2 linked regions of the Rattus norvegicus genome follow. The protein of the gene in region 1 interacts with the protein of each later gene in a biochemical or structural test. Links are inferred from orthologs where the notes say so. Each region holds a gene or a part of one and is shown in the gene's direction. Other genes may lie near its edges.

Region 1 (16,435 bases):
GTATCAGATTATGGAAGCTGGAGTTAGTGTTGATGCTTAGATTTTTGTTTTTAAGTTTTAATTAATTTTTCTTTTAAGTTTGTGTGTGGGAGTCATGTGTGTACCACAGCATGCTCACGGAGGTCAGAGGACAGTTTTGGGAGTTGGTTCTGTGCCTGCACTGTGGGTTGTAGGTTTGAGCTCAGGTTGTCAGGCTTGTACCAAGTGCTTTTTCCTGTTGAGCCACCCTAATGGCCAGGTGCTGCCTGGATGACTTCCAACTCTTAATCCTATTCTTGGCTGTTCACGTCAGTCTGACTGGAGTGCTGGCCTACATCGATCGCTCCACTTGTATGGTGCTTCCCACATGACTGGCATGAATCACGTAGACCTTCCGTTCTAAACAGTGTTTCTCAAATGGTATTTTAAAGTACCCTTTGATAATCTTTAGCAACTAGTTAGGCAACGGCCAAGTTTCCTCATGAGAATGAAGCCCAAATCTTTGAAGCCCTAAGGCAGCCTTGTACACAGTCACTTCCCTGTGCGTCTGAAATGATACTTTCTATGGCCGTCCTTCAGAAAACTGAGAAACCAGTCAGATGTAGAGTTGTGCATTCTGTAGGGCTCGGCCCTCGTGCAGAGCAGAAGGCTAGCTGTTATTGAGAGCTTAGTTTGAGTTGCTTGAGTTGTAATTTGCTTCAATTTAAATAATGTGCGTTCTTCTGCAGTTCTGTTTTCCTAGAGTTAAATACCCTGAAAAAAGTTGCCTGTGGTGTGACTGGGCTTGGATTTTCTATGAGGTAGAAGGTGATCTTGAACACATGATCCTTTGGTCTGCTAGGATTACAGGACTGCCATGTCCTGGTTTCTTGTATTCTTGTTTGCTAACTGCAGAGCTGAGGAGCCTTACACTGCTGTAGTCACTGTCCTGTGATGACAGGAACAGACACTGGGATAGCTTGTAGACTAGCTAGGTGTTGTTACTATACAAGGTTTTATAGTTCATCTAAAGAGTTTTCGATTGTTTGCGTGTGTGCTCCACAGTAGTTCTTCTGAATAAATTACTATTTGCCAAAGGCTGCAGTTCATTATGAGGTCCTCTGCAGACATGTTTTCAAGACTATCTAATGGCGGCTCCCTTTTCCTCCTCTGAAACTCTGCAGAAGACAAAGCATTATCTAACTGTGAACCTCACCACCCTTCGAGTATGGTGTTATGCTTGCAGCAAAGAAGTATTCTTGGATAGAAAATTAGGAACTCCTCCTTCATTACCTCATGTAAGACAGCCTCAACAAACACAAGAAAACAGTGTCCAGGTAATATCATTTAGATTATAAATGTTCAGAAAACAATTTTAAGAGTTTGTCATGTGGTTGGAATTTACAACCTTAAAGTACCTTACCTTACATGTACTTTAGAAAGCTTGTCTGTGTGCCAAATGCAGCACTCGAGTCTTGTTTTGTTCTTGCATAGCACAGAATGAATGGGAGGCGAGTGTGGGACTGAAGGTAGAAAACACCTGTGCCTTGCAACAGCTCTGTAAAGAAAGGTTGGAAGGGACATGTCATACCAGACACAGAGATTTTTGTCGATAACCCTTATCTTCTGGGTGAGACTTATCTATCCAGGCAGCATGCCTAGGTTCAAGTTCCTTTTTAAAGAGACACTGTAAAACTTAGCTTACAACATAATGGGTTTCTGTAGGCTTTTGTGAAAGTCTCTGTGAATCTAAGTCTTGAAGGCGGAAGGCCTCCATGGCCTGTGTGAATACAGCCCCTTTCCTGTTCTCTCCTCAAACATAGCTAACTCAGGGCTAACCTAGTCCTGTGGATTAGGAGACGTAAACACGTTTGCAAAGGTGGCCGATTCTCATCTACAGAAGAGGCCTTTGGCTGTGAGTGCATGTATAAAACTCATACAGAGAAGCGGTGAGAGTCTGTGGATTAGCTTATCTGTCACACCCTGTGTTGCTATAGAAATTAAGAGATTGTAAAAGACAAGGCATATCATAATTTAGATAAAGTTAGTTCTTGGGCTGAAATGCAGAAATGTTACTTTTTGAAGGGACTTTTTTTTGGAAAGTTTTTTGGGGACTGGAAAGGTAACTCAGGTTAAGAGTACCTGCTGCTCTTGGAGAAGACCTGAGTTTGGTTCCCAGCACCTATACGGGGTGAGTCAGCACTGCCTGTGGCTCCAGCTCTGGGCCTGCTGCTTTGGCCTTCTGCAGCTGTGCACATGTGTGCTCTCACATAGGTCCACACACACAGAAATAAAGCCCATTTTCTACAAAACATAAATGCCAATTTTGTAATGATTACCATTATTTCTATCTTTACTGCTGTTACATTTTACTTTTTAAAATTTTGGGAGTGTGGGTGTGTACATGTAAGTGTACTTAGGAATCCAGGAAAGCCATCAGATCCACATGAGCCAGATGGCAGCAGTTAGAACCACCTGACGTAGGTGTTGAAATAGAATCAGGGTCCTCTCATGCTCTTAGCACTAAGCCAGCTTCCTAGCCCTGCTGTTGTGGTTGTTTTCTGTAGCTCAGGCTGCCCTCTAACTTTTTACTAGCCATGACTGGCCTGAACTCGTCTTTTCGCCTGTGCCTCCTGAGTGTTGGGGTTACAAGCATGTGCCACCATGCTGGCAAATCTCTGCTGTTATGGTAATATCTTTTAATAGTTGTGTGATATAGATGTTATGTAAGTTAAAGTATGTTTTGATTAAGGATTTATTCAGGTTTGTTATGTCTTTTTTTTATTAAGGATTTTAAAATACCCAGTAATACAGCATTGAAAACCCCTCTGGTTGCTGTATTTGAAGATCTGGATATAGAAGTGGAAGAGGAAGATGAGCTGAAGGCTAGAGGTAAAGGCTCGCTCCTGTCAGCACCACTCCACTCTGTACGGCACTGCCCATTCATTAAGAACTGCATAATGAGAAGCTCAAAGTACAAAGCTTTATTAGTAGAGCTTAGAGGTGATAACTAAGAACAGAACTGAGAAGTTGGACCTTGTGGGCCAGTGTTTGAAGGTAATGCAAACCTGATTTGTCACACTTGGACTGCGCCCTGTCGTTTAGGAGCCTTTAGCTGCCAATGTTATTTTGAGTTCTCACCTGCCAGGGAAGGGTTGCTAGGGGGATGTGAAGTCGCTTCCTTGGCAGACTGTATGCCTGTGGCCCAGCGCTCAGGAGGCTGAGGGCAGAGGTTAGCTTCCGCTGCTCTTATTTTACCCTCATCTACAAAAAGAAAAAAAAAATAAATGAAAAGAAAAAAAGGAAGACAAGAATTTGCCAGGGGCAGCATTATTTGGAAAAAGAATCAGGTGGTTCTAGAGGTCCTTTTGCCCTGTTCACAAAACTGTTAACTCCTACACTGGGAGACAGTGTATCAGGATTTCCCACGGTTTTGAGGCTCACAGTATTTAATGTGAGTAAGCATTGGATGTTCTGTGAGTTCTTGGAACACAGGACCTGTGTGCATATCAGACAAGCATCCTTCCATGAGCTATATCCTTAGCCCTAGGATTTTTTAAATTTGTGTTCTTTGAAACAGAATTTCTCCATTACGTACTTATAGCTGTCCTGGAACTTGCTATATAGACCAGATTGACCTTAAACTGACAGAGATCTGCTTGCCTCTGTTTCCTGAGTGCCAGGATTAAAAGTGTACACCACCACACCTGGCTTATAATTCTAGATTTGGAATATTTGTCATTGTTTCTTTTTTGTTGTGTTGTGATGTCAGCCTCTATTTTCTCTCTTAATGATGGAGTGAACTGAGAAAAATAGAGTGCGTTGGACAAAGTAAATACAGCCTATGGAAGGCACTGGCACTCCACGCCAATCACAGGGTCAGGCCGACTTCTCACTTGGGCTTTGGGAGGAATGAGAATTGTAATCTTAAATCAGATTATTTAAAATATAGTCTATATTCTTAAGCTGGTAGTGTCTCAGTACTTGGGAGGCAGAGGCAGGCAGATGTCTGTGAGCTCAAGGTCAGCTGGTCTGCAGAGTGAGTTCCAGGGCAGTAGTGATAATAATGAGACCCTGGTCATTGTGAGCCCCGCCCCCCCTGCCCTGCCCCTATGCATTTGTCATTACATAACAGTAGAAAAAGTTTTTTTAAGTGCAAACTTCTAGGTTAAATTAACAAATCCTTGAATTTATCTAAAGCTTAAAAGATTGGAGAGTGAGAGATTTCCAACAGTGTGGCCTCTGAGTTGTTCAGGCTGCTTCCCTGTGTCTCCATGTTTCTGTGTTTTAAAAGTTGTTCCTGTACTGTATGTGGTGAATGTGTGTGTGTTTGCTCACTAGGCATTTAACTCAGGGCTCTATGCACAGTATACATATGCTCTGCTAGTCAACTATCAGCCCATTTTCATAGCTTTAACTTTTGAAATTGTTCTTAATAAACACCAAGAAAATTCAGTGATTCATGTTTTATTGAATGATGACTTAATATTTCTTCTGCACAGGCCTGACAGGTTTGAAAAACATTGGAAATACTTGCTATATGAATGCCGCTCTGCAAGCTCTCTCTAACTGGTAAGCAGTGAGACCAATATTGGGTTCTCTCCTTTTCTCCTCCTGCTCCACCAACTCCCCTGGTTGTCCAGGAACTTGCTGTGTAGACCAGATTGGTCTTGAGCTCAGAGATCCAACGGGATATGCTTCTCGAGTACTGGAACTAAACATGTACCCCACCATACTCAGGTCTAGTATAAGGTTAGCTAAGATAACTTGTTACTACAGTAGGTGACTAACTCCCAGAGCAGAGAGGCAAGAACCTGGGTGAAGACATCGTTGTCCCAGTGGGATTGCTGTGTGTGCATCTACGTTTATTATTTTGTTTTTCTCTTGGCAGTGTCTTATTTTCACCCAGGCTGGCCTCCAACTGTGTAGTTGAGGATGGCCTTGAACCTGGTCCTTATGCTACCACATTTCAAGTCCTGGACTGCAAGCATCTATAGCGTGCACAGTTAATACCTGTAGTTTTCTAAGACCGAGGATCCCAGCTCAGGCTTCCAGTAGTATGTCCTTGGTTTTAGTTTTTGCAATGCTGGGCCTCAACCCTGGGCCCTTAAGCACACTGCTGTACTGAACAATATCTCTAGCAAGTGTATTTATGGACGAAAACCAAAGAACTTAAATTTGTCACATTCTCAGATCATTTTTAGGTGAAAAATCATATGAAAGTATGTTTCTACTGGTAGAATCCCTTGAATAGAGAGCATTCACCCCCACCCCACCCCCATTTGCAGCATATAAATAGGGTGATTATTACTTTGTCAGAACATGACTTGAGTTTGAAAATAGCTTTGGGAAAGAGTTTGACACTGAGAACCTGGAAGAAAATCTGGGTGGCAGACATAGTAATTGTGGAGTAATTGCATAGGGCCATGTGCAATCCACATTAAAACTGAGGTCTCAGGTGTGGTAAGGGACTACCAAAGTCCTTTTACAGCAGGGGAATAGAGGAATCTGTCTTGCAGCCCTGGTTGCCATGTGGATAGTGGGTTGTAGGAAAAAGTATAATTTGGAAAAACAGAAGATGTATAATAATCTAAGTAAGAAGTAAGAGTACCTTACACAATTTTGGAGTAGATGAATTGGAGAAAGACATTTTTTTTTTCTTTTTTCTTTTTTTCGGAGCTGGGGACCGAACCCAGGGCCTTGCGCTTGCTAGGCAAGCGCTCTACCACTGAGCTAAATCCCCAACCCCGAGAAAGACATTTTTTACAGTTGGTGGTTGCTAGGATATGGTTAGAGTACTGGGAAAGGGAGGAGATTTGAAGTTTAATAGTAGAATCATTTGATGAAGGAGTCATTTGGAAGGGCAGCAAGGTTTCTTAGTCTCTGAGTCTTACTATCTCTGTCTTTCTCATATGCATACATAATGTTGGTAATAAGAATGGAGAAGATTGGGCTGGAGAGATGGCTCAGTGGTTAAGAGCCCTGACTCCTCTTCCTGAGGTCCTGAGTTCAATTCCCAGCAACCACATGGTGGCTTGCAACCATCTGTAAAGAGATCTAATGCCCTCTTCTGGTGTATCTGAAGACAGCTACAATGTACTTATATATAATAAATGAATAAATCTTTAAAGAAAAAAAAAAGAACGGAGAAGATTATTGGAAGATCAGGTTCACTTGCAAGTAAAATTCTGAGTGTGTTAGATTAAAATATCAAGACAGTGGTCAGTTTGAGCATTTGATAAGAATTCAGTTGATGAAAGGTGTCTGAAGGCTAACATGAATGTGGCCGACACTGGTGTATTTGTGGGAATTGAAGATGGCCCAGGAAAGAGTAAAGTCCCGAGTCAGAGTCCTGGGCACCCGAACAGAAAGAACACTAGGGGTGGAGGCTGCACGAGGAGGACAGTAGCAGTGTTTACTGGGATCTGCTTAGTTCTGTGCTTTACGTAAGCAGGAAGAGGCTGAGGCCAGCCTCAGCAGCACAGCAGTCCCTCCTCCCTCCTGCCCTGTCTTTCCTCTTCACCCTCTTTTAGTCCTTTTCTGCCTTTTTCCATACCTCCTTCCTTCCTTGTTTACTTCAGACAGGTCTCTGTGTAGCCCAGGTTAGCCTTGAGCTCAGTGTGTTCCTCTTGGCCCTGTCTGCTTAGTGCTGAAATTACAGGTATGTGCCTCCCTGCTCAGATTCTTAATAAAGAACAAAAACAAAAACCAATTTAGAAAGAGATTGGGTCAAGGCTCAAGCCTCTTATCCCAGCACTCAGAAACAGAGGACCCTGACGTGGTGAGTCCAAGAATGATTTGTTAAACTTATTAGTGATATAAAGGAGTGACTGTCAGACCATAAAGGGGCAAAGACCTAACAGAGAGGTTGATGTGTGCTGTCAATCATTGTGTAATTAGAAAGTAATGAGAACTCAGCCTTAATTCCACTCTGCTATTGCTCTCTTTTCAATTAGCCCACCTTTGACACAGTTCTTTCTTGATTGTGGAGGACTGGCTAGAACAGATAAGAAACCAGCCATTTGTAAAAGTTATCTCAAACTAATGACAGAATTGTGGCACAAGAGCAGGTATGTACTTAATATAATTATGTCTTAAATCAGTATTATAAGTATGGAATGAAAGCAGAAATGTTTGGAGGGTTGAAAAAAAAAACGCAGGAAGGAGATTTGAGTTGGGTCATTTGAAGCTGAAATGCAGATGGAGCAGAGGCCATCGTCAACATCAGCTGGTTATGTGGAGGCTATGGAGCCTCACTGCCGAGGTGCAGAGCAGCAGAGCCTTCCCAGACTGGGCAGGGTAGGCCAGGCCAGCTGCCTGCTCTGCCAGTGACCGTGCCCCACCCATATCTTAGCATATTGGTCATTAGTTGCGTATTAGGTTAGTTTTGCTTTACAACTGTTTATGAAGTTGCATTTTTGAAAAATATTGTGCAGTGCGAGAGTAATAAAATTCTTTAAAAAAAATTAAAACTACAAAAGTATCTGTTTAAAACTTTATTTTTCAGGCCAGGATCTGTTGTGCCTGCTAATCTGTTCCAAGGAATTAAAACTGTAAATCCAACTTTTCGAGGCTATTCTCAGCAGGTTAGTTATCCATATAAAAATCCTTAAACTTTTTAACAAATGTGTTTAATTTCTTTGTATGACTTTGTTTGCCTGTGTTTATGTATGTGCACCATGCGTGCCTGATACCTGGTGAGGTCAGAAGAAGGCATCAGGTTGCCTGGAACTGGAGTTCCGGGGCCCGTGAGCCATAGCACATGGGTGCTGCAGACTGAGCCGGGTCGTTGACGAGCAAGTGCTCTTCACTGCTGAGCTGCGCTGTGTCCACTGCGGTCACCCTCAGTGAGAGAGAGAGTTATTACACTCCATTTCCCAGTTGTCCTTTTTCATCATTGTGCCTTTGTCTTTGGTGTTTGGACTTGTGAGACTGGGTCTTTTGTATCCCTGACTGGTCTTGGCCTCTCTGTGTGTGACAGCCTTAAGTTTCTGATCGTTCTTTCTCTGCCTCTCATGTGCCGGGACGACAGAGGGGCCTCCAGCACACCTGGCTGTTTGTTTGTCTTTGCATTTCTGTGGCTCCAGTGAGTGAACAGTGTTCTCCCCCTGCACCAACCCTTGTGATTTCTCACTGTGCTGTCTCACTGTCATAGGGCAGCTTCCGTTACTTTAGTGGTCTGCAGTCCCTGGACAATTTATAGCTGGTCCTCACACATTTCTCTTTTCTCAAACCATTACTTATTCACTATTAACCTTTAACATATAAAGTTCTGGATCTCCAGACATTATAATTTAGAGCTGTAGGTTGGAGCTCAGGAATTTAAATTTTTTTATTTAATGTTACTTGTGTGCATGAGGAAGGGCAGTGTACACATGCCACACTACATGTCTAAAGGTCAGAAAAGAACTTTGTGGAGTGGGTTGTTTTTCCACAGCAGGCTTAAGAGATTGAACTTGGTGGTCAGGCTTGCATGGTAATCACTTTTACTGAAACTTCTTTGCAGCTCAGGAAATATATCATCAAAAAAGTTCTTGTTGATCTATGGACAATTTTTCTTTGAGATACAGTCCATGGATGAGAAAAACTTACTTAAAACCAATTTCCATAATAACTTATTTTAGGGCATATTTCCAAATTCTGACTATCATATGAGGAAAATCCTTATTTTCTGTTGCATCCAGTTTCATTACAAAGCATAGTTTTTGTTTGCGTAGCTGTTGGAATCTGTTGTTGTAGGTCTGCTGCAGTATGGGCTGTAGACTAGTCAGTGTGACGTGATATGTCCACAGTTCACTCACTCACGCCTCTTAGGTTCCGACAAGCACTCGCGTTAGAAGGTAATGTGGTTTTGTTGATGTGCTAGGATGCCCAGGAATTCCTTCGCTGTTTAATGGATCTGCTTCATGAAGAGTTGAAGGAGCAGGTCATGGAAATAGAGGAAGAGCCTCAAGCACTAACTTCTGAGGAGACAGTGGAGGAAGAGAAGAGCCAGTCAGATGTGGATTTTCAGTCCTGCGAGTCATGTAGCAGCAGCAGTGAGAAAGGGGAAAATGAGAGTGTCTCTAAGGGCGGCCCTGAAGACAGCACTGAGACCACCATGCTCATTCAGGATGAGGAGGACCTAGAGATGGCCAAAGACTGGCAAAAAGAGAAGATGTGCAACAAGAGCAACAAAGCAGATTCTGACGGAGAACCGGATAAAGACAGAGACACGGTGTGTGAAACAGTTGACCTAAACAGCCAGGAGACCGTCAAGGTGCAGATACACGGCAGAGCCTCAGGTGACGATTAACACTCGGACTGTGCAGTGCTCGTGTGGCATGCGCAGACTGTCACTTTGGAACAAGTCATTTGTTTGTTTGTTTATTTGTTTACTTACTAGGCAGGGCCTTAATGTATGCCCCTGGCTGTCCTGGAATGTGCTGTGTAGACAAGGCTATCCTCAAACACTTCTGGCTGCCTCTGCCTCTTGAATGTTGGGATTAAAGGTATTTGCTACCACACCTGGCTTTTGGGAGTTTTAATAGACTTGCAGTTTAACACTGTCTGCTTGCAGTGTTCAGTGAAATCATCAAGTTAGGAAATTAAAAGTAAGATAATTTTGTGGATCATTTACTTAGGACTTCATTTTTTTTCTATTTTATTTATTTTATTTTATTTTGGTATAGCAGAGCTCATTAGGATTCCTTTATGGTTACATAGTAGTCTAGAAAATTAGTCTCTTTGGAATTTCCCCTTTTATTTCAAGCAAATTCTGTTGAGATCCTGAGGATTTGAAACACAGCCCATGATCTCCTATCATCGTGCTATGGCACCCAGTGGTTTGCACTGTAGACGGAGCTGATGTGTGCATGAGCTTTGTTAAGGCTCACTGTATTGGACAGTGTTCCTTTCAAGAAGGAAAATACCCAAATGAAAGATATGAGTTGGACTATGTTACACACCATATTTTTCTCCTTAGGAGCTACCCTATCTTGATGTGCTATTGACTACTCTAAATTCTATAAAATTAGATGACTAGAAAGTCAGATTGTGCAACTTAGTGGCCAGGAAATGACAGAAAGTTAATCTCTGGACTATTGAAGGGAATCCTGGCAGTGAAGTGTCTGAGTGCATCACAGTTCTGCCTTGAACAGTATTTCTTTAGCTTAGGAAAATGGAGGCTTACTTGTGCTTGCCAGGGACATAAAGTCAGGAGTGCTTAGGCTCTGCACAGACTCACTGTGGACATACGGTCTTTAGCCAGTGAGGGCCTGAATGTCAGTTCCTGTGAAAAGCCAAGGGAAGCATGATTCAGGGACACACTGGTCCTTTATTACTTGCTTGTGGGGTTTGTTCTTAACATATAGTAACTAGGGGTTGGGGATTTAGCTCAGTGGTAGAGCGCTTGCCTAGCAAGCGCAAGGCCCTGGGTTTGATCCCCAGCTCCGGAAAAAAGAAAAAAAAAAAAAAAGAAGAAAAAAAGAACATATAGTAACTAGCTACTAAAGTAAAGTAGGTCTCAGAGTTTTGTGTTTCAAGTCTGGATGAAAAACTATGACTAAGACCATGGAGTACACAAAACCTAAAGTCCTTACTGTCCCCAGCAGGAAGGATGAGCCAGCCTGTGAAGCCTTGGGCTGCAAGGTAATGGAGGCTCTCAGCAGCAGGGCTCGGCTGGCCTCTTTACTTATGCTTGAGAGCTTTCTCCTGTCGTCTTAATTAAATTGGTATTTATTATGAGTATGAGTGTTTTGGCTTCATGTACGTATATGTATTGTATGTGTATTGTACTTGTGCCTGGAATCGTTATGTTAATTAACATTATTGTGCACGTGGGGTATAACTTTACTGAGTAGTTTCATTTATAATTTTAATTGAAGGTAATAATAAAAATTTAAATATTACAGAATATATCACTGATGTCCATTTGAATGACCTATCTACACCACAGATCCTTCCATCAAATGAAAGTGTTAATCCACGTTTATCAGCAAGTCCTCCTAAGTCAGGCAATCTGTGGCCAGGATTGACACCTCCACACAAGAAAGGTAAAAGTACCCATAATTCAGTTCCTAACTCTGAAGTGTTTACCCAGTTTGAGCTACTGATGCTGATGAAGTGGTAGGGACTATGTGTTCTCGTACAGTTGATAGAACTATGTGACCGTGATTAGGACATTTGTCTGTGGTTCTGTACTTTAAACTTTGGTTTTTTTATAATTTAAGATAATGATTTTGTATTTGAGTATCTTACCCGCATGTATGTATGTGCATCCCATGTGCACACAGAAGTTAAAAGAGGACATGAGATCACATGGAACTGAAGCATGGTTATGAACCATTACCTGGCTACTGGGAGCGAACCCTGTGAGAGCAGCAAGAATGCCTAACTGCAGAACCTTTCTAGTCCGCCCTCTCTTTTACTCACCTTTTAAACCTCCTGTGCCCTTCAGCCCATTCTGTCCTGCAGTTCCATGGTCAGATTGTCATCCTACCCCTCAGGCCTGCCACACTGATACTCTGGTCCTAATGTGTCTGTAAGGCCGGAGACTCCTGATGGCTTCCCTTTCTCTAGAGTGCCCTGTAAATGATGCCACACAGTACCATGCTAAAAAGCAGCCTTTTTTCATGTAGCACAATGTAGTTAAGAATTGGCTGCATTGGGCTGGAGAGATGGCTCAGTGGTTAGGAGCACTGGCTGATCTTCCAGAGGTCCTGAGTTCAAATCCCAGCAACCATATGGTGACTTACAACCATCTGTAATGAGATCTGATGCCCTCTTCTGGTGTGTCTGAAGACAACTACAGTGTACTTGTATATGATAATAGTAATAATTAAAAAAAAAGAGTTGGCTGCATTGTTGTACGTCTTGCTACTTTCTTTTCCTTACCAAGTTGAATTTAATTTCTGTCACCAAATCACTGTTTATTCACTCATCAAGGGATTTTTGAATTGTTTTAAGTTTTTGGCAGTTATAAATAATACTGTTAGAAACATATACAGTTTTTGTATGATGTTAAGTTTTTCTTTGATCAGAGATAAGGTCTTAGAATTATATTTCCTGGGTTTTGAAGATTATTTATTTATTTTTAATTTCATGTACATTATTGCTTTGTCTTCATGTATGTCTGCATAAGGGTGTTGGAACTGGAACTCCCTTGAACTGGAGTTACAGACAGTTGTGAGCTGCCATGTGGGTGCTGGGAATTGAACCTAGGTCCTCTGGAAGAGCAACTAGTACTCTTAACCACTGAACCATCTCTGCAGCCTCTATCTCTTAGGTTTTATGTTCATTTATGCTCACCACTGTACAAACCTGCCTCTTTCAGAATGTCTGTACCATTCTGCATTGCTGCCAGCTTTGTATCAAAATGCTAGCACTATAAAATATAAAACTATAAAACTCACAGAGGACACCATGTGGTAGTGCGTGCCTTTAATCCCAGTGCTCATAGGAAAGTTGATCTGTGTGGAGTTCAGTCCAAGGACTGTATGGTTTATCGGGATTATAGGCCAGTCAGAATTGCATAATGAGAACCTGTCTCACACAAGCAGTGAACAGAGAAACAGCTGGAGGCCTTAAAGGGTTTCTCCCAGTGGATAGCAGACATGAAAACATGGTAGAGAGGTGGGTCAGGGGATAGCAGTGCTTGCTGTATAAGCTGGACAGCCGAGTTCGATCCCCAGAACCCACAACAGAAATAAAAGGAAAGAACTAACTTCAGGTTGTCTTCTGACCTCCATACTTCATGTACATACAATCCCATGTACAAAATAAGGATACCATCTGTAAAAGAACCAGTGAGTCTTGGCAAAGGACTTTATTGAGATTTAAGAAAGGGTAGGATTGGGAAGAAGTATTTGTAGGTGGACAAGCCAGAGGAGCATATCCAGTACTGCTCACTAACAGGAAGTGCAGTCGGAATGTTGTTCTGAAGGATAATATGCAGGCCGGGCCTGCTGCTCTGTCCTCATGACTTCACCTGCCTCTCCCAGTTGCACCTTTTTTGCTTTGTGGTCCATAAATACTCCAGTGATGGGGCCAGCACATCCTGTGCACATGGGACACAAATGACTAGTGTGTTGTGCTGTTAACTATTATTATTAATTAATTTCAGATGGTTTTCGTATTTCCCTATGTACATTTTATGTGACTAAAAATCATAAGTAATTTAAAGCCAGCTGAAGCCTTATTTGATTTTTGATTGGCTTTTCTATCTGTTTAAAGTAACAGTTTTTTCTTGGTTTTGGTTTTTGAGACAGGTTTTACTGTGCATCCTTGGGTGTCATGGAACTCACTAGGCTTGATCTTGAGCTCAGAGCTCCACCTATGTCTGTCTTTCAAGTGTTAGAATTCAAGGCATGCACCAACACTCAGCACTAATTTTTTCTTTAAGAATTTCTTTTTAACGGGGCTGGGGATTTAGCTCAGTGGTAGAGCGCTTGCCTAGGAAGCGCAAGGCCCTGGGTTCGGTCCCCAGCTCCGGAAAAAAAGAACCAAAAAAAAAAAAAAAAAAGAATTTCTTTTTAAATTTTTATTCATGTATAAGTGTGTTTCTCTATGTATATGCCCCATGTGCTTGGGTGCCCATGGAAGCCAGAAGATGTAGGACCCCTTGATGCTAGAATTACACACAGTTGTGGGATGGGTGGGTGCCTTATGTAGGTGTTAGGAACCAAAGCCTGGTTCTCTGGAAGAGCAGCAAGTGAGCCATCTCTCTAGCCCTAAAGCAGTAATCTTGGGTGGTTTTCTGAATTCCTTTTATAGTACAGTAATTATTTTTTATGTTTATTGACCTGTGTGTTTGTGTCCATGTGTATGTGTGGGTGCACATGCCACAGCATACTTGTAGAGGTCAGCAGAGAACCTGTTGGTTTTCTCCCTCCATTATATGGGTCTTGGGAATCAAACAAGTCTGAGATGGACAGGAAGTGCTTCTACCTACTGAGCATCTTGTAGGCGGAGTATAGCATGGCTCAGTGGGTAAGACCGTGTGTAGAGTTTAGTGCTTGGCATTTATATTGGGTAGCTTTAGATTGCCCCTAACTCTAGCTCCAGGGAATCCAGTACCTCTTCTGGCTCTCATGGGCACCGTATGTACATGCAACAGACACATACACATACATAGTAATAGATAAGTACAACTGAAAAAGGAAAATATTCTAGGGAAAGCCGGCACACGCGCTGCTCTTCTAATCTAGTGTCATATGAGATGGAAGGAAGAGGACCAGGAATTCAGAGTCAGTCTCAGAATCATTGTGAACCTGAGGCCAGTCTGAGCTACACGAGATCCTACCTCAAAAAACAAAAATCCCAAAACAATTAAAAAATATTCAAGGAACGAACTTGATTCTTTCTAATGTTCTGTCTTTTAATTCTAGCTCAGTCTTCATCTCCAAAGAGGAAAAAGCAGCATAAGAAGTACAGAAGTGTCATCTCTGACATATTTGATGGGACAATCATTAGTTCAGTACAGTGTCTGACGTGTGATAGGGTGAGTATGGAGAACCGTAACAGGATGTTTCTGTCCAGTGTTATTTGTAAAAACCTAAGGATGGGAAGAGTTAAATAGATCATTGCTGTTGCAGCCCACACATTTCTTGTGTGTCTGTTAGTTATACATTGAGTTGAGATGTAGAGTAACAGTACAGCCCACATCCTTTGTGCAGGACCACGGGCTCTTTGTCTGTTTTGGTTACATATAAAGGTGAGAAGTTACTTGGCAACAAGAATTGTTAACAGTGCTTCTTCTCCCACGGCTGATGAAATTAGGTATGCCCAGAAACACTTGCATTCACAAGCAAATGGCAGTTGAGTGTATTCTTACATTTGCCTTTGCAGGTGGCTTGTAAATGATACATGTGTTTCAGTGATGATACCAAAGTCACAAACACGGTTTTGTCTCAAACAAATTTCATGAGGGTTGACTAACACCCAATCCTTCAGAAAGAAAGAAATCCTTCAGAAAAGAAAAAATTAAGATTTCTTAATTTTTTCATTTTAGTGAAATACAGTAATTAGTATGCTTAGTGAATGAGAACTCATGTCTAAGAAACGAGAAAATCAACTTTCAATTATTGTGTTATAATGTTAAGTCACTCAGTAGGCACTCAGTAGGGTCATTTTCATACTGATGGTGTATTATCCCGAAACGTTTTATCTAGTGTATGTGTATTGCTGTAGTTAAGGACAGACTGCATGTGACTGTCATGGAAGATTCTGTTAGCAGAGTATTGTAATCATCTTAGTGTGGTATTTACTCCATGGTTGCCTGAAGCAGCGTATCTCCCATGATGCATCCCTGTTGTTAAGTGCTGGTTGATGCCAGATCTGGTTTTCTCCTTACCACTCTACCACAGCCTGCAGTTTCATGTACTTTGGAGGCTGAGGGGAGAGGATGCCTTGAGAACAGTTTGGATGGTACAGTGTATAATAAGACCTAGTCCCTCAACACTCCTAGAAAGGAGCGTGAATGTCAGTCTCCATTGCCCGTAGCTGGGTTTGTTGTGCTTCTCTGAGCCATAGAAATACTCATGACTCGTAGGAAGATTATATTTGGAACAGTACCTGGTACAAAGTGGACTCATTTCTATGTGTAGTATTCTAAAGCTGTTGGTATTTATATTTGCTTATAGTAATAGCTTGCTTTCATATGTGGAAGAAATCTAACCCTGTAAATAACTGTCCTGGATTCTTTCCATCCTGTTAAAACCAAACACTTGCAGGTGTCTGTAACCCTCGAGACCTTTCAGGATCTGTCCTTGCCGATTCCTGGCAAGGAAGACCTGGCTAAGCTGCACTCCTCCAGTCACCCAACTATAGTCAAAGCAGGGTCGTGTGGCGAAGCCTACGCTCCACAGGGGTGGATAGCTTTCTTCATGGAGTACGTGAAGAGGTGCGTGTTTATTTCCTTTGCTTGGATTGATGGTTGGTGCTGCTGCTTCTGCTGTACTAGCAGAACACTTCCTTTCTCTCCTGTCAATGATGTTTCAGGTTTGTTGTCTCATGTGTCCCTAGCTGGTTTTGGGGTCCAGTAGTAACCTTGCAAGATTGTCTTGCTGCCTTCTTCGCCAGAGATGAACTTAAAGGTAAGAAATACGATCGCATTTATGACTGACTTTGGTAGGTGAACCAATGCTTCATTTCGGACAGTTAAATAGTATTTGTTCATATTTGCATGGTGGAGGAATCTTCAGTGGCAGTTGAAATATGATTAGAAAAGTCCTGCCCTGAAGGAATTTATATAGATTTCTATAATACAAAACAAGACATCTTCACGTTCTGTGATTCTGAGAAGGTGGATTCTGTGAAGATGATGGGTGCAGATGCGCCTTGAACTGTTCACAGCTGCACCTGCAGTGACGGTCCTATGCAGCTGCGCTTGCCTACTCTGTGGCTTCTGCCTTCTACTCTTCTCTACCGTTTTTCTTCCCTTTCAAACCAGCCCTAACACTAGAGAAGAGAGAAAACAGAGTAGAGAGGAAAGGAAAGA
Region 2 (15,627 bases), on another chromosome or scaffold:
TGGGAAAAACTTTAGCCTTCAGGTAAACGCGAATTAAAACCGTATGGAGGAACTAAGGAACTAGTCACTGAAATGCTGGTCATGGGGCATGAGGACTTGAGTTCAATCCCTGCATAAAAGCCAGGGACAGTGGCAGATGCTTGAAAGCCTTGGGAGGCAGAGATGGGAGGATCCCTGAGGCTGGCTGGGCAGCCGCTGAGCCCAGGGAGCCCCAAGTTTTAGTTACTTTGTCTCAGAAAAACAAGATAAAGGGCTTCTAGGGAATGACATCTGAGGTTGACCTCTGGCTTACACACACACACACACACACACACACACACACACACACACACACACACACACACACACATACACCATTGTGTCTTGGAGTATTGAGATTCCATCTTACCGGACTCAAAAGAACAGTCATCAAGAAAGCAAGTGGCAGCAAAACTGGTAGGCTGTAGGAGAAAAGAAATGTTTACATGCTGCTGGTGGGGCTTGTAAATTGTGTAGTCCCTGTGCAATCTGCATGGAGATTCCTCAAAAAACTAAAACTACAACTGTTGTATGACCTGGACATGCCACTTCTGGGCTAAGGTCACAATCCCACAGAGATACTGGCCCATCCACATTTATTGTAACAGTATTCACAGTGGATACAGTATTCACAGTAGCCAAACTATTGTGTTTTATGCAGCTGTAAAAAACAATGAAATTATGTCATTTGCAGGAAAATATATCAAACTGGATATGAACACATTGAACAGGGGTTCTTGACCTTCCTAATGCTGCAACCGTTTGATACAGCAATGTAGCTCCTCATGTTGTGGTGACCTCAAACCATAAAACCTCTTTCTTTCTTTCTTTCTTTCTTTCTTTCTTTCTTTCTTTCTTTCTTTCTTCCTTTCTTTCTTTTGTTCGTTCTTTCTTTCTTTCCTTCCTTCCTTCCTTTTTTTCTTTCATGTATATGAGTGCTCTGTTCTTCATGCACACCAGGAGAGGGCATCAGATTCCATTACAGATGGCTGTGACCTGCCATGTGTTTGCTGGGAACCAGACTTAGAACCTCTAGAAGAACAGCCAGTGCTCTTAACCACTGAGCCATCTCTCCAACCCCATAAAATTTTCATTGCTACTTTATAACTGTAATTTTGCTACTGTTATGAATCATAATGCAAATATCTGATATGCAGGAGATCCGAGATACTACTGTTGAAAAAGGGCTGTTTGACCTCCAAAGAGGATGTGATCCACAGGTTGAAAACCACCAATATTGAGTGAAATAAGCCAGATGGAGGAAGACAAATATATTTTCTCTCTTAGTCAGTATATGTATTATGTATGTGTGTATATGTATATATATATATGTATATACAATATACGTAGTATATGTACAAGTGTATATATGTATATGTATGTGAATGTATGTACATATGATGTGTGAGTGTATGTATGTGTGAATGTGTATGTAAATGTATATGTACCTATGTAATGACATGAAAGTAAAGAGAGAACTGTATGTTGAGAACATGTAAAGAGAGGAGAGAATGGGAAAGAGGGTGACAGGAAGAAAGCCAAATATTGCAGATTTTCTCCCATATGCAGTATCTAGACTTAACAATATGGATATATAAAACATAAAAACAGAAGGCGGAGTATGGGGAGGGGAAAGGGGACTGGGGGGACGAGGAACAGAAGGACAATGGAGCGTGAACAGCGAAAATGCCAGAAGGAAACAGTCTTTTCTTTCTGAATCTTATTAGGGATTATTCATCAAGGTTAAATTATTCATTTAATATAATGTTAATTATTCATTAAGGTTAAATCTCTCGGAGTGAGGGCGTTCTAGTTAGAGGGCACAAAAGCCCACGAAGCCTCCTCCGATCTAGTGAAACCTCAGCTCAGGTCCTTTGGTAAGCTCACTGCTTCACTCCAGGAACAGATAAAGGGTACTGCTTTGGCCCCACAGGCTGGTAGATGAGGAAAGTCTCTCCCACCCAGAACATGAAAATTAGGGATGCCACAAAGCTGAAGAGGTATTTACTCGTGGCATTCCAAGAGACAGGCATAGGGGACCTGTCCACATGATTCCTAATATATTAGGTCCCAGTGCGTGAGTCCATCACAGTTCAACTTCAGGTCTGAGAGGTCCCACGCATGCCATGGATCCCTCCCATGTTCGTGATCAGGGAGCTTCAGATAGCCACCATACCCTGCCAAGCTTGCCCTAGCCTTCTCCATGCATATTATACTTCTTGGGGTCCTGGCTTGTTCTCCTGGGGTCCCAGGGTATGGCCCTAGCAGCATGTCCTGTGATCATGTGGGAGACTTTCTATGCTGCCAGTGGCCCCTCACTACCCTTTGCAGCTACCAGATTCCCATGACTGCAGTCCAGGCCAAAGCCATCTTCACCTTCTCTGGAAAAACATCATTTTCTATCTGACCTTTAAAATTAGAGATTATAGCCAGGCAGTGGTGGTGCACACCTTTGATCCCAGCACTCTGAAGACAGAGGCAGAGGGATCTCTGAGTTCGAGGACAGCCTGGTCTACAGAGTGAGTTCCCTGACAGCCAACAACAACAACAACAACAACAATAACACAGCAATCAATCTCAGTTATCACCTTGATAAGATCTACCTATCTGAGAGGTGATCTACTATCATATCTATCCTCTGCCTATGGAAGAATAGTTTTATTAGGTTGACTGCCGTGGGAAGACTTTTCCACTATGGGTGGCATCATTCCCTGGGCTAGGATCCTGAACTTTATTTTTTAAGTGGCACTTGTATTCCTCGGGTATTTGGGTAACAGGGTCATGCAAGCCCTGGCATTTGTGTGGCTGTCAGAGACCAACTTGTATGTGGAGGGGTAGGGGTTGGTTCTGGGGATTGTACGCAAGCAGGTCATCAGGGTTAACATTAAGTGCATTTACCCACTAAGCTATACAGATTTCATGCCATACTGACCATTGCCTTTCTCTTTGCTATAACCAATAGCTCATTATTATTTTGTTGATATTGCTGTTGGTTATTGTTCTATTTCGTTGGTGAGTGTGTGTTTGAGACAATATCTCCATCAGCACAGCTAATTTAAACTCGATATGTGGCTGAGAATGACCTTGAGTTTTTGACCCCCCCTCACTAGCACACCCAGTTTTGCAAAATGCCAGAGATCCAATACAAGGTTTTTGTCTTGGTTTTTATTTTTAATTTTATGTGCACTGGTGTATTTCCTGCATGTGTGTCTGGGTGAGGGTGTCAGATATTGGAGTTACAGACAGCTGTGAGCTGCCATGTGGGTGCTGGGAATTGAATCCAGGTCCTCTGGGAAAGCGTTTAGTGCTCTTAATCACTGAGCAATCTCTCTAGCTCCCCACAAGGTTTTCATGTATGTTAGGCAAGCACTCTGCCAAGTAAACCACATCCCTTGCCCCCAGATACCACGTTAGATATAGATTGTCTTACCTTGACCCTCGGCAAGGGTCAAACCTGAATAAGAGCCATTCATGAGTCAAAGTTTTACTGTTAAAACCTTAAGAGTAAATTTAGGCTGAGTTTGTTGTTTCAGGAGGCATAGGTAAGGGGACCTTGTGAGTTCCAGGCCACCCAGGAATCATATTGGGGCTGGAGAGATGGCCCAGTGATTAAGAGCACTTCTTGTTCTTGCAGAGGACCTGGGTTCAATTCCTAGCACCCACATGGAGGTTTATAACTGCTTGCAACTCTAGTTCCAGGGGACCTGATACCATCCTCTGACCTCCATAGGCACTATACATACCTGCAGGCCAACACTCATACACATAAATATAATAAATTGTAATAATAAAAGAGTGAACTTAGAAGGTGACGATAGAACCATGAGGGGAGGGGTAAGCAAGTGGTAAGCAAGGTCTATGTTCGAAAATTAAAGATGATGGGAGATTTTTTTGTCTTGTGCACATTGTTTTTCAAACGGAAAAGTGGAGAGAGTGGCACAAAGGTATTCCACTGAGGGGAAATAGGGAGGAGCGGAAGGAAGAGACCAAAGAGGAGAAAAGCCTGTCTCTGTAAGTCTAGAAATGTCAATCACCCTTGTCGTCTTCCGCCAAACCCAGTCAATGCTGCCCCAGCAATGAACCTCTAATATGGCCCCTCTGCTCCCCTCCACTCTCTGTTCATCATTTTCCCTCGGCTAGCTTATCTTCTAGCGAGCGGTCTCGCTATGCGACACGTTACCCAAAAAGAGAAGTCCTATCTCGACATTCCTCTGGTGAAAGCAAAACCCAATCAAATCAGCACTGGGCTGGAATTAGTGGTGAGCTAAGCATATGTGAGGCCCTAGCAGAAAATTAAATTAAATTAAATTAAATAAAGACTACAGTTCCTCGGGCTCTTTCTTTCACCTGCTATACACAGTCTTCCACCGTCTCTTCTATTCCTCCGCAGCTCTACCTCCTGCCATCTAACCCACAGACATTTTAGAACAGGGCGTGCTTTTCCTTACTCATCTTTAGGATGTCCTTTCCCCACTTCTGTCCATCCTTCAGAAGGGCTGTCCTCAAATTTCCTATGCTATGGAGTGACTGCACTCCCTCCTCCACGCTGGCCAAGCGCTTTTAGGCTTTTAGTTGCTTGATGGTCTGAGTCATATCTATTATAGCGTTCCTGGGAGCATAATACCTGTTTTATATGTCTCACGGATCCCAGGAAACTTAGGCCATGATGTTGTCCCGATGGCTCTGCACAGTGACTTACACAAAATAGGCAGGGAGGGAAGGATGAAGAATGGAAGAGATAAGTGGAGTAGGTGAATGATGGCTAGGATAGACGGTAAGGGAGATGACAAAGTCTGAATGTTTTAAAGTGACACTGCAAAAAAAAAAAAAAAAAATCAAAGACAATACACCAGGGGGAGCTGAAGACCACGAGAACGCGGGAAAGGTAGGCCAAACAAGGCTGCAAGCTCAGGGATGAGCAGCGCATACCAAAGCAAGCATCATCACGCAACAGATACGGCTCACCCACGTGGGCAGCCCCTTGGTGCTCAGACCCAGACAGTGTTTGAGCTCATTCCCACCGCCCCCTCGATCCCGTCCCTCCTCCGCTACAGTGAAAGCAAACAAAGGGGAGGGATCCCTGCAGGGCTATGGATACCAACGGCCAATCAGCTGCTTCTAAACTTCTCGAAGGCGGCCGCCTCCATTTTAAGGGGCCCAATCTAGTTCCAAAGGCTTGAGGAGGGGCGGGGAGATCGAGAGTAGGGACGGCGCGAGGAGGCTTCCCCGAGGGAGACTGAGGGCGGAGGCGTGGGGCGGAGCCAGCTCGAAGAGGGCGGGCTGCGCCGCGGCGCGCGGGCTCCGGCTGACGCAGCTGGCCCCAGCTCCCCTAGACCCAGACCGCGAGGGGAGGGGAAGGAGGAGAAAGAGTGAGGACGCGCGTGCGCAGTGACTCGGGGAGGAGTGGGGACCTGGCAGCGGGTGAGAAGGCTGCGAGCGAGCCGCGAACCCGGCGGGTGGAGGGCGGCGAGCGCGCGCGCACCATGGGTGAAAAACCCGGGACCAGGTAAGGGAGGTGGGGCCGTGCCGCGGGGCATGGGCGGCTGCTCGCGGAGTGTGCCAGGTTGATCCACAGACAAGGACACCGGGGAAGAAACCCCGGGGCCGGACGCCTGGGTCCCTAGAGGGTAGCTGTCCGGGGCCGCAAGCCTAGGTCCTTGAGGATATTGGAGTGGGGGTGCGTGCTGGGGCTCCTGCAAAAAGCAAGACTTGATAGAGATCGGGAAACCCACGCCTGGGTTCTCACAGAGATGTAGGAGTCGGACTACTGGGTTCTCTGCAGGCTGTGATGCAGGGGCGGAGGAAGGAGGAGCAGGTGGCCGGCCCCGAGGGGTTGTGTGCTGGGAGACTGGATGCTGGGAAGGGATTCCCCTAGACTCGTGCCCAACCAATGGAAAGCCTCCTGCCCAATACCCCACAGTCTGATTGCTCCCACCTGTCCCAAGGGTCGGATAGCTCTGCTACCAAACTTCTGCCTTCTCCTAGGTTGCTAGGAGCAACAGCTTCTTGAGAGAGTAGAGTGCATAGGGACCCTCGCTGAAATTGGGCTTTATTCCTGTCCTGGGGAGAGAGAGAGGTAGTATCTGCCCTGGACACACATCCTCTCCCCGGATGTTTTCTGTGCAATCGAGGCTCCTTCCTTCCACTGATACCAGAGTTCTCTTTTTTGGTCTATAGCAAAATCCACTTCCTGTTGTGACCCAACACCCCCAGGAGGACATGGGGTGAATACTTGAGTTCCAAAGGAGCAAGAACTAAATAATAGGTTGGGGCCATGTGCCTCAAGCCAGAGAGGACCAAGGATAAGGGCCTGATTATGAACAGTGACTTCTGCAAAACATGAGACCAACCCCACCACTCCCACTGCCCTTAAGTATTAAGAAGACCAATATCTGAGAGAGATGCTTACAGGGAAGATTGACCTCCTAGATTTGAGGTTAAACTAAACCCCAGAGAAAGGAGAAGTCACTTACTTGGGGGGGAGGCCCCCAAATTTCCGTTGAGTACTTCAGGGAGGGAATAGATGGACCAAAGAAAGACTGCTGACTTGGCATAATTCCCTACCATCTCATCAAATTCTGGGCCAGAGGAAATGGCGAGAATGGCAGGAAGTACAAAGAGGCATCTGCTTTAGCTGCACCCCTCCAAGCTGGGTACCTCCCTGGTAATTCCCTTGCTCTGCCTTCTTGGCCAAGCACACTGTGCACGCTGCGCCCTCCCTAACCATGGCTGGGTAAGAGCAGGGCAACTGACGGAGATACAATGATTGTGTGGTCGTCACAGGTTCTGCCAGGGCTCCCAGTGGGGGAAAATACAAGACAGGAGGAAACCAGAAGTAGGAGAAAGAGCCAACCTAGGTGATGTCCAAGCTGTCAGCCCTAATTGGGACAGAAATTAGAGTGATTATTCTAACCGCCACCATGTCCAAATGTGCCTTTATTACTTGGGGATACTTAGGGCAGCCTATGTATATGCCATGTGACCCTAAGTGTGTGTGGCCCAGTGATGTATGGGCAGCTTGGCTTTGGGGAAGGAGGAGACAAGTGGTTTTTCCAAGCAGAAACTCACATAGTGTGTTGAAGGGAGGATGGAACTCTGGGCAGTTTTCAGCCTGTTATCTGGGGGCCCTTTCAGGAATTGCTCCGGAGCCAAAAGGCCTTAGAAGGGGTAGAGTTGTTCTTGGAAGAACAAGCCAAGGAATGGCCAGAGCTCTGGGGTCACTAGACAGTTTCCTATCCTCCTAGCCGTGGGTGGAGTCTAGACTTAGGTTGTTCTAGTGTCTGTACAGAAAAATCCCCTTAGACTTGACAAACTGTGACAGGCGAGCTTCACGACTTAGTGGTTGAGAACAGGGTCTTGAAACCAGGGTGCCTTCCTCAGGTTTATATCCGAGTCCCACCCTGTACCTTCTCTGTGACCTTTGACAAAATTCTTGTTTGCCGTAAAGCCGGGGTCTTTTAGCCTCTGTCACTGGGCGATAAGAGCTGTAAACGCAGTTGGTACAGTGCTAGAACACAGCAGTCACCAGTCAATGTTAGCCAGAATCACCATGTTTGTCACAGGATGCTACTGTGTGGGGACCACAGTGGGTTTTTTTGTTTTTGTTTTTTTTTAAGCTGCTGAGGTCAGAAACGGGGCTGTTGGAGGTTCATGAAATAGTCAGACTTGGGGACAGAAACATCTGAGGGGCAAAGACTCTGCTCCAGGAGTCACTGTGTGAGTCCTTGAAGCTAGAGGTCAGTTAAAGAGTTCATCTGAGTGTGGTAGTTCGTGCCCCTTCATCCTAGCACCAAAGAGACAGAGGTAAATGGATCTGAGTTGGGGCCAGCCTGGTCTACAAGTCAAGTTCCAGGCTAGCCAGAGTTACATACTAAGGCCAAGGTCAAAAGGGAGGGAGGAGTGTTAGGTGTGACCCAGACATTGTGTAGCCATCAGTTGACTCTTGGTTTCGGAGAGGGTCCCTCAGGAGAGCCTGAATAGTTGGCTGGGGCAAACAGTGGCCATTTACTATAAGCGGAGGAGTGAGTTAGTAACATCAACAGCAAAGAGGAAAGGCCTGACAGTTGGCTTCAAGAGGCTTCAAATACCGGTGGGAAGCAGTAAAAAAAAGCAGTGGGAAGGGTCGAGCAGGGATCCAGGGTGAATTCCATTTCTCTGGGGGGAGGGATAAATCCCGGCGTGGTGGTCCCTGCCCAGCCTAAGGGAGGCAGTGGGGTCTTCCTTTCTGTTTTGTTAGGGTCTTCAAGAAGTCGAGCCCTAACTGCAAGGTGAGTCTCCCTCGATGCTTGCTTACCCTTTGATCCTCCCTGGGCCCTATCAGAGCCCAGCCTACCCCTAGATGATCCCCAACCCTTAGCTCCCCACTTCCTGTGACAGCTAAAAGCAGACTTCCTTCCCTCCTTAAGCCCCTTGCCACAGTCTGAAGAAGCCACAGGGCTGGGTGGAGACTGGGCTTGGTTCCTAAGCTAGCTTGTAACTCTCTTAGGAACCAACGCAAGATGCCTGGGCTAGGAAAAGTTAATAGTTCCCCAGGCAGTGGCCCGTTTATCTCAGAGCCTGTTGTGGGGACAGCTGCTAACTGCCTGGTCTGACTGAGTGTTCCCTGAAGACATGGGAACACATATATACACATTTACACCTACCCGTGGTTGGTGGGCACAGGTATGGAAAGTGACCAATGCGGGCAGGTAAAAGCTTAAACAAAAGTTTTACTGAGTAGTCTAGAAAACCCTACCACTCTTACCATCCAATAATACTGGGAGAAATTCCTTCCTGATAACCCAGCCAAGGGGAGCCCAGGATAGGGTAGACATCTTTGAGAACTCTGGTGGCTTGCCACCATCCTCCCCAATTTTCCCTGTGACCCTTGACATCCTCAGCTCACCGTGTACTTGGGCAAGCGTGACTTTGTGGATCACTTGGACAAAGTGGATCCTGTCGGTAAGTTTGCCTAGAAGGGGCTAGCACAATCCTCCAAGAGGGGAGGTGGTGCCTGAGTTTGGGAATGGCCCCCTTCAGAAAATGAATGCATCTCCCTTTCCTAGATGGTGTGGTGCTTGTGGATCCTGACTACTTGAAGGACCGGAAAGGTATTGCACCCATGCTGGAGGGGAGAAGAAGACATTAGATGGGCTGGCATTGGTAACAGAGAAAAGGAAGGACGAATCAGAAGCTGGGGGCAGGATTCTGGGAAGTCTGTTATTCCGAGGAAGGATGTGGATACCATGAAGAAAGGGGGTTACTCCTAATCACCCCAACTTACCCTTACTTTTCAGTGTTTGTGACCCTCACCTGTGCCTTCCGCTATGGCCGAGAAGACCTGGATGTACTGGGCCTGTCTTTCCGCAAAGATCTGTTCATCGCCACCTACCAGGCCTTCCCCCCCATGCCCAACCCACCTCGGCCCCCCACCCGCCTACAGGACCGACTGCTGAAGAAGTTGGGCCAGCATGCCCACCCCTTTTTTTTCACAGTGAGGAAACTGTCTATTTCCTGCAGGGCAAGGGGTCTGGGGTTGACATGGGATGAAACGCCGGTTACCAGTTGAAACCCCTCCTCTTCTCTGCCACAGATACCCCAGAATTTGCCTTGCTCCGTCACACTGCAGCCAGGACCGGAGGACACAGGGAAGGTACAGAAGGGACAACTCAACAGTATGTGAACAGAACCCGGCTCAGCAGATGCACAAGACGCAGCCGAGCGGGAGGGTGAAGTGTAGTGGGCTCTTGAGGACAGGGAGGTATCCCCATGGACGTGTGTGCATGGTGTGGTCACCAGATCTGTTCTCTGACCCGCATGTACCTTGCTGGGTATAGTGGCTCCTCCGTGCACTGCCATGAGCCAGCCTCTGCCAGCTGCCAAGCTAGAGAGAGACAGTGGGGCCAGAGAGTCCCTCTGTTTCCATGATGAGGCAAAAATCCACACCAAGAGGAACTAAGCGGGGAGGAAGGAGGGGGTGTGTTGGATGTGGTACCAGGAGACTTGGGTAAGCGGCAGCCTTTCCTCCTCTTCCCAAGGCCTGTGGAGTAGACTTTGAGATTCGAGCCTTCTGTGCCAAATCTATAGAAGAAAAAAGCCACAAAAGGTAAGAACAACTCTCTTTCTCTCTGGTTTAACCGCTTCCACCCATCCTCGAGGTATCCTGGTGGGGGGTAGGAATCCGAATTGGCCTGTGCTATCTTGCACCTAAGTCTTTCCCCTCCTCCAACCCCTGACTCAGGAACTCCGTGCGGCTTATCATCAGAAAGGTACAGTTTGCTCCTGAGACACCCGGCCCCCAGCCATCAGCTGAAACCACACGCCACTTCCTCATGTCTGACCGGAGGTCCCTGCACCTAGAGGCTTCCCTGGACAAAGAGGTAGGGTGTGAGAGAGTGACAAAGATGTCACAAAGCAGGCCAGACTCTTGTTGGGGGGGAGGGGTGAAACCACAGGCAAGATGGTGGTTTAGGAAGGTTTTTTCTTTTAATAAGGCAATTGCCTCACTTGGGTAGAGGTGCTATGGGCTGGATTGGGGATGGAGCAGGCCAAGGGAATGGGGTCAGTGAAAACCAGCTACAAGCTATGCAATCCCCTCCCTTCCAAAGCTGTACTACCATGGGGAACCCCTCAATGTCAACGTCCACGTCACCAACAATTCTGCCAAGACCGTCAAGAAGATCAGAGTGTCTGGTAGGAGGCGGGAGTGGACATTGGGATGGGGGAAGGAAGTCCCTACTTATAAGGGTTTCTGCTGCCCTTATGTCAGCCTAGGCCCATAACCCACTGTAGGAAACCTACCAAGCCATAAAGAATTTAGTCTGTTCCAGAATAATATACAGCCCTAGTGTTTAATATAGGAGGTCTGTTGGCCAGGGGTGGAAGGGGGCATGGGGCTGCCCCCAGGGGGATTTCCAGCATGTGGTCGGGAATTGTGGTACAGTAACTGTCTATACTTCACCCAAAGCCACTTGGTCCCCTACCCCACAGTGAGACAGTATGCCGACATTTGCCTCTTCAGCACCGCGCAGTACAAGTGTCCTGTGGCTCAGCTTGAACAAGAGTGAGTAAGGGTCAAGGGTGGGACCCAAGCTTCCAGGAAAACATGAGAAGGCAGGATTCTAAGGGTGTCTCTCTATAGCCAGGGGGCACCAAGCTGTTGACTATCTCCCAACAGGTTGAACCAGAACCTACCCTCTCATAATCTGTGCCCTAATGGACAGTGAGGGAGGAGAGACTGCCTGAGGGTGGTAAGATGAGCCTCCCCTAGCCCAGTCTCTCCAACAATCTTGTTCCCAACCCCCAGTGACCAGGTGTCTCCCAGTTCCACATTCTGCAAGGTGTACACCATAACCCCGCTGCTCAGTGACAACCGAGAGAAGCGTGGCCTTGCCCTTGATGGGCAACTCAAGCACGAAGACACCAACCTGGCTTCCAGCACCATGTGAGGGGAGAAGGGGGGTGGGGGAGGGGGGAGGGGCCAGGGGACGGGCTTCCGTTCAAAGCAGGCCTAGTGCCAGGCTTTGTCCTGGGTGCCAGGAAGGTATCAGTGAACAGAAATGACAGAAACTTCTCACATTCTAAGGGAGGGAAGACAGACAATCAGATAAGTGGTAAACTAGATAGCACGTTAGGAACAAGTGTTAAGTAGAACAGTATAAAGTATGAAAGATAGAGTATAGCAGATAGTGTATAGAAAGGGGCGGGCTGTGTTGATTTTAAATAGACTGGCCAGGGAGGGTGAACACTGAAGGACCCAGAGGAAGGAGGCGTTATGGATGGCTCTAGGCAGAGAGACTTCCAAGCTTAAGGACAGTTGGGATGGTCCCCAGTGTGCATGAGGAATTGTGATGTGTCACTATGACCTTGGGCACGTGTAGCCCTAGAAAGGCCAGAGCTTCACCTGGTGTTGCCTCTGCACCGGGTACGTATGTCACTAGCACATAGGCCCACATGGAGAGAAGAGACACAAAGAGAAATAGATAAAGGGAGCTGTGCCATAGATCAAAGCACCCCTGTGAGCCCCAAAGATGAGGCCCCAGGAGGTTCTGCATGGAGGATACCATGAGCCTGTATTGCTATGGCTGCATAGCTGGTGCCTCAGGAGCCCTGGATCCCTGACCTCAGCTTCCTTCCTCCCAAATGCAGTGTGAAGGAGGGAGCCAACAAGGAGGTGCTGGGAATCCTAGTATCCTACAGGGTCAAGGTGAAGCTGGTGGTGTCTCGAGGCGGGTGAGTACAGTAGTCAGGGCTGGGCAGGGTCACTGGGTTCTCTGGATCCATGGGTTGTGGTAATTGTCCTCTTCATGCAGCCCCTCTCCCTCCCCAGGGATGTCTCCGTGGAGCTACCTTTCGTCCTAATGCACCCCAAGCCCCACGACCACATCACCCTTCCCCGACCCCAGTCAGGTGAGTACTGACCACACCCTGAGCCCCACAAAGATTAGCTGAAGCAGGGTCAGTGGGGAAGTGATGGTCCTAGCACCCCTCTACCTATCCCCTCTTTGCCCTTCAGCCCCCCGGGAAATAGACATCCCTGTGGATACCAACCTCATTGAATTCGATACCAAGTAAGAAACACCCCTTACCTTCTTTGTTGACCCTCTAGGATAGAGATTCCCATGCCATTCAGATCCACCCTCCTACTTTATGGGTTGCTTCCTTCTGGTGGGAGAAGTGGTGGAACTATCCAGTGAGATGGCCCAGCTTGTAGAGGCTGTGGCTACTGCCCTGGGTCCCTTGTGAACCCCTCTGGTTCTGTGATTATAGAAGCTTTTACCTTATCTCCTTCTCACTGTCACCAAGCTATGCCACAGACGACGACATCGTGTTTGAGGACTTTGCGAGGCTTCGGCTGAAGGGGATGAAGGATGACGACTGTGATGACCAGTTCTGCTAGGAAGAGGGGCTGGGAGAGGTAGGGGTGGGCAGGACTGAGGTCCCACTGCCCTTGCGGGTAGGAGGGTCCCAGCCTCTCCTCCTTCCCCGTCCGTCCACCCGAGATACACACTGGACCCATCACTCGTTGAAAGTGGGCATTAATCTTTTGACTTCAGCTCTGCCACCCCAGCCCTGCTCCCTAGGGTGGCAAGCTGTGTACACACCTAAAGTTTTGGGAAGGGAACACTGAAAGCAAGGAGTGAATGTAGAGAAAAGGAGTAGAAAGGACACCCATGTTTGGCCTCATACCAACCCACTCCCAGTCACCACTTCTGCCTCCCAATCCTTGAAGATGAGATTTCAGGGGAGGGACCAGCAAGGCCATATCTTCGTTTCTGAGCATAGGGAAGAAATAAACCTTTTAATAGGCATGAACGTGTATGTGTTTTCTTAGTGGAGTTTAAAGGGGGTATGGTGTCCCCATCGATGATGCTTTTTTCTACATCTGCAGGGTACCTTACACAGGTTATCAATAAATGTTTACTGGATGACTGTGCTATGCCTGTGTTCCAAGGTAAATATTGAAACTCAGCTTGGTCGGAACACAGTCGCGATTGAGACTGGTAAAGCCACAAAGTAAACTTAGTCTTTTACAGGGAAAATAATAACTAACTTCCCTGAAGACTCGATGCTCCTGAGCTGGGCAGGGCAGGTTCCTCGACATGACTGTATGTGCCAAAGCCAGGCTGGGGGAAGGAGTTAGCAACACTCAACAGACATTTCTCATCATCCAGCGCAACTCCTGGAAGTAACCTCTCTGTCTTAATTAGGGTTGCTATTGGAGCGATAAAGCACCATGATCAAAGCAACATGGGAGTTTCGAAAGGATTTATTTGGCTTACACTTCCACATCATAGCTCATTATTGAAGGAGGTCAGGACAGGAGCTCAAACAGCAGGCACCTGGAGGCAGAAGCTGATACAGAGGCCATGGAGAAGTGTTGCTACCTTGTTCTCCATGATCTGTCCAGCCTGCTTTCCTATAGAACCCAGGACCACCTGCCCAGGAGGGACACCATCCACAATGGGCTGGGCCCTTTCATATCAGTCACTTAAGAAAAACCCCTGCAGGCCTGCCTATATAGTCTGATCTTACAGAGGCATTTTCGCAATCAAGGCTCCCTCCTCTCGCTTGTGTCAAGTTGACATAAAACCAGCCAGCACACCTTTCTAAAGGCTCCATCCTGTGAACAGTCTTGACCTACATCCCTACCACATGCCAATCATGGTATAGGGACATACAAGCATTAACTCATTCCCTAGTTGCACTCTGTGTCCCAGGGAGGATGGGAACTTGGAATGCGCATATGGCGATCTAGGTTGGGGTTGGGGTTGGGGTTGGGGATGGTTTCTCTAGAGGAACCTTTAAGCAGAGAACTGAAAACGAGGTAGGGGATGTGCAGGGAAAACCTGGAGCACAGCAAAGCTACAGTGTAAAGGCCAGAAGGTGCCGTGAATAGACTCAGACCAGGGACTGGAGTAGCCAAGAAGTACGGGAGTTTTCTCTGAGGCAAATGGGGGAAGCCTGCATGGGCCTTGGTCTATGGTAAAGCTTCTGAAATGGTAATTAAATCATCATTTATCCACAGGCCAGAAACCCAATGCCAGTGACCGCGCTCACCCTATCACAGGCCATGTCCCCTACCCGTGCTGGCTTTGTCACACAAAGGGACTAACTCCTTTTAAGTCTTTGCTTCCAGCCTCTCTGACTCCTGTGACCCAGCTCTATGACCTCTCAGGCTTCACCAGAAGACTCAGAGATAAAGATCCAGGATTAGGCCCTTCAGTCTCAGTCAGAAGAGCTAGTGGAAAACCCATGACTATGGGTTGAAGAATGCCTTGTTTTTAAAAGGGGGGTTTATGTTTTCAGTGCTGTTTAGGGAGGTAATCCAAGCACATGGGTTAAAAAAAAAAAAAAAAAAAAAAACTGAACCATATAAGACAATAAACAGTGAAAAGCCAACTCTCTCGGTCCTCTTCCCCACCCCAATTTCTCTTTCCTACCAGCCACCACCATCACCAACCAGTGCCTTGTTTATTCAAAGACTGTTCCTCGCACTGAGTCTCACGTACACAGGCCTTGTGTGCTCAGTCTCAACCGAATACAGAAGGCAGCAAACCATGAGCTCATCTGCGTCTTGCTGTGTCTTTCAGTTGATATCGTTACCTGCAAGAGCTTTCCTGAAGCTCCGCTTGCATCCACCCCGTGCTTTTTTTTTTTACTTTATTTGTTTATTTTATGTATGTGAGTACACTGTCGCTGTCCTCAGACACACCAGAAGAGGGCATCAGATCTCATTACAGATGGTTGTGAGCCACCATGTGGTTGCTGGGAATTGAACTCAGGACCTCTGGAAGAGCAGTCAGTGCTCTTAACCACAGGGCAAATCTCTTCGGCCCCTCACATTCCCTTTTTATTTAAAGCACACAGGGTTGCCTTATTCGAGATCTCCACATTGTTGGACAGCTCTCACCTTTATCTAGTTCCGAAACACTCTTGTTATTTATTATTAACGACGCTACACTTTTATCTGAAGGTAAACTTTTCCTACCCTTTTCTAACTGGCATCTTAGTTTGCTCTGTCACCGAGCCGTTCACCCTTCCTCTTGCTCGTGAATAAACACTTCATTTTCTTTCCACTACACACATCCAGAGCTTATCAACCACTGTCTCATCCAGTTTCTCCTCTTT

Evidence for each region.
Region 2: of the proteins of Usp33 (region 1) and Arrb2, one has a biochemical effect on the other in vitro, tested with the Homo sapiens proteins (2 studies listed by BioGRID, with this or other methods). The link is inferred for Rattus norvegicus from reciprocal best matches to the Homo sapiens genes USP33 and ARRB2.

Annotation. Positions count from the first base shown.
Region 1 is NC_086020.1:243,955,678-243,972,112, forward strand, and holds part of Usp33 (ubiquitin carboxyl-terminal hydrolase 33), read left to right. Parts: intron 1-1,142; coding exon 1,143-1,295; intron 1,296-2,747; coding exon 2,748-2,850; intron 2,851-4,460; coding exon 4,461-4,530; intron 4,531-6,914; coding exon 6,915-7,028; intron 7,029-7,465; coding exon 7,466-7,544; intron 7,545-8,824; coding exon 8,825-9,242; intron 9,243-10,850; coding exon 10,851-10,991; intron 10,992-14,324; coding exon 14,325-14,437; intron 14,438-15,668; coding exon 15,669-15,838; intron 15,839-15,936; coding exon 15,937-16,031; intron 16,032-16,435. UniProt on the Homo sapiens protein: Deubiquitinating enzyme involved in various processes such as centrosome duplication, cellular migration and beta-2 adrenergic receptor/ADRB2 recycling.
Region 2 is NC_086028.1:55,640,179-55,655,805, forward strand, and holds Arrb2 (beta-arrestin-2), read left to right. Parts: upstream 1-5,423; 5' UTR 5,424-5,501; coding exon 5,502-5,524; intron 5,525-8,228; exon of another isoform or gene 8,229-8,254; coding exon 8,255-8,285; exon of another isoform or gene 8,286-8,628; coding exon of another isoform or gene 8,629-8,679; intron 8,680-8,897; coding exon 8,898-8,958; intron 8,959-9,062; coding exon 9,063-9,107; intron 9,108-9,293; coding exon 9,294-9,490; intron 9,491-9,589; coding exon 9,590-9,649; intron 9,650-10,034; coding exon 10,035-10,102; intron 10,103-10,237; coding exon 10,238-10,376; intron 10,377-10,604; coding exon 10,605-10,689; intron 10,690-10,963; exon of another isoform or gene 10,964-10,986; coding exon 10,987-11,059; intron 11,060-11,302; coding exon 11,303-11,440; intron 11,441-12,144; coding exon 12,145-12,228; intron 12,229-12,308; coding exon of another isoform or gene 12,309-12,325; coding exon 12,326-12,405; exon of another isoform or gene 12,406-12,478; coding exon of another isoform or gene 12,479-12,511; coding exon 12,512-12,566; exon of another isoform or gene 12,567-12,801; coding exon 12,802-12,895; 3' UTR 12,896-13,307; downstream 13,308-15,627. UniProt on the Homo sapiens protein: Functions in regulating agonist-mediated G-protein coupled receptor (GPCR) signaling by mediating both receptor desensitization and resensitization processes.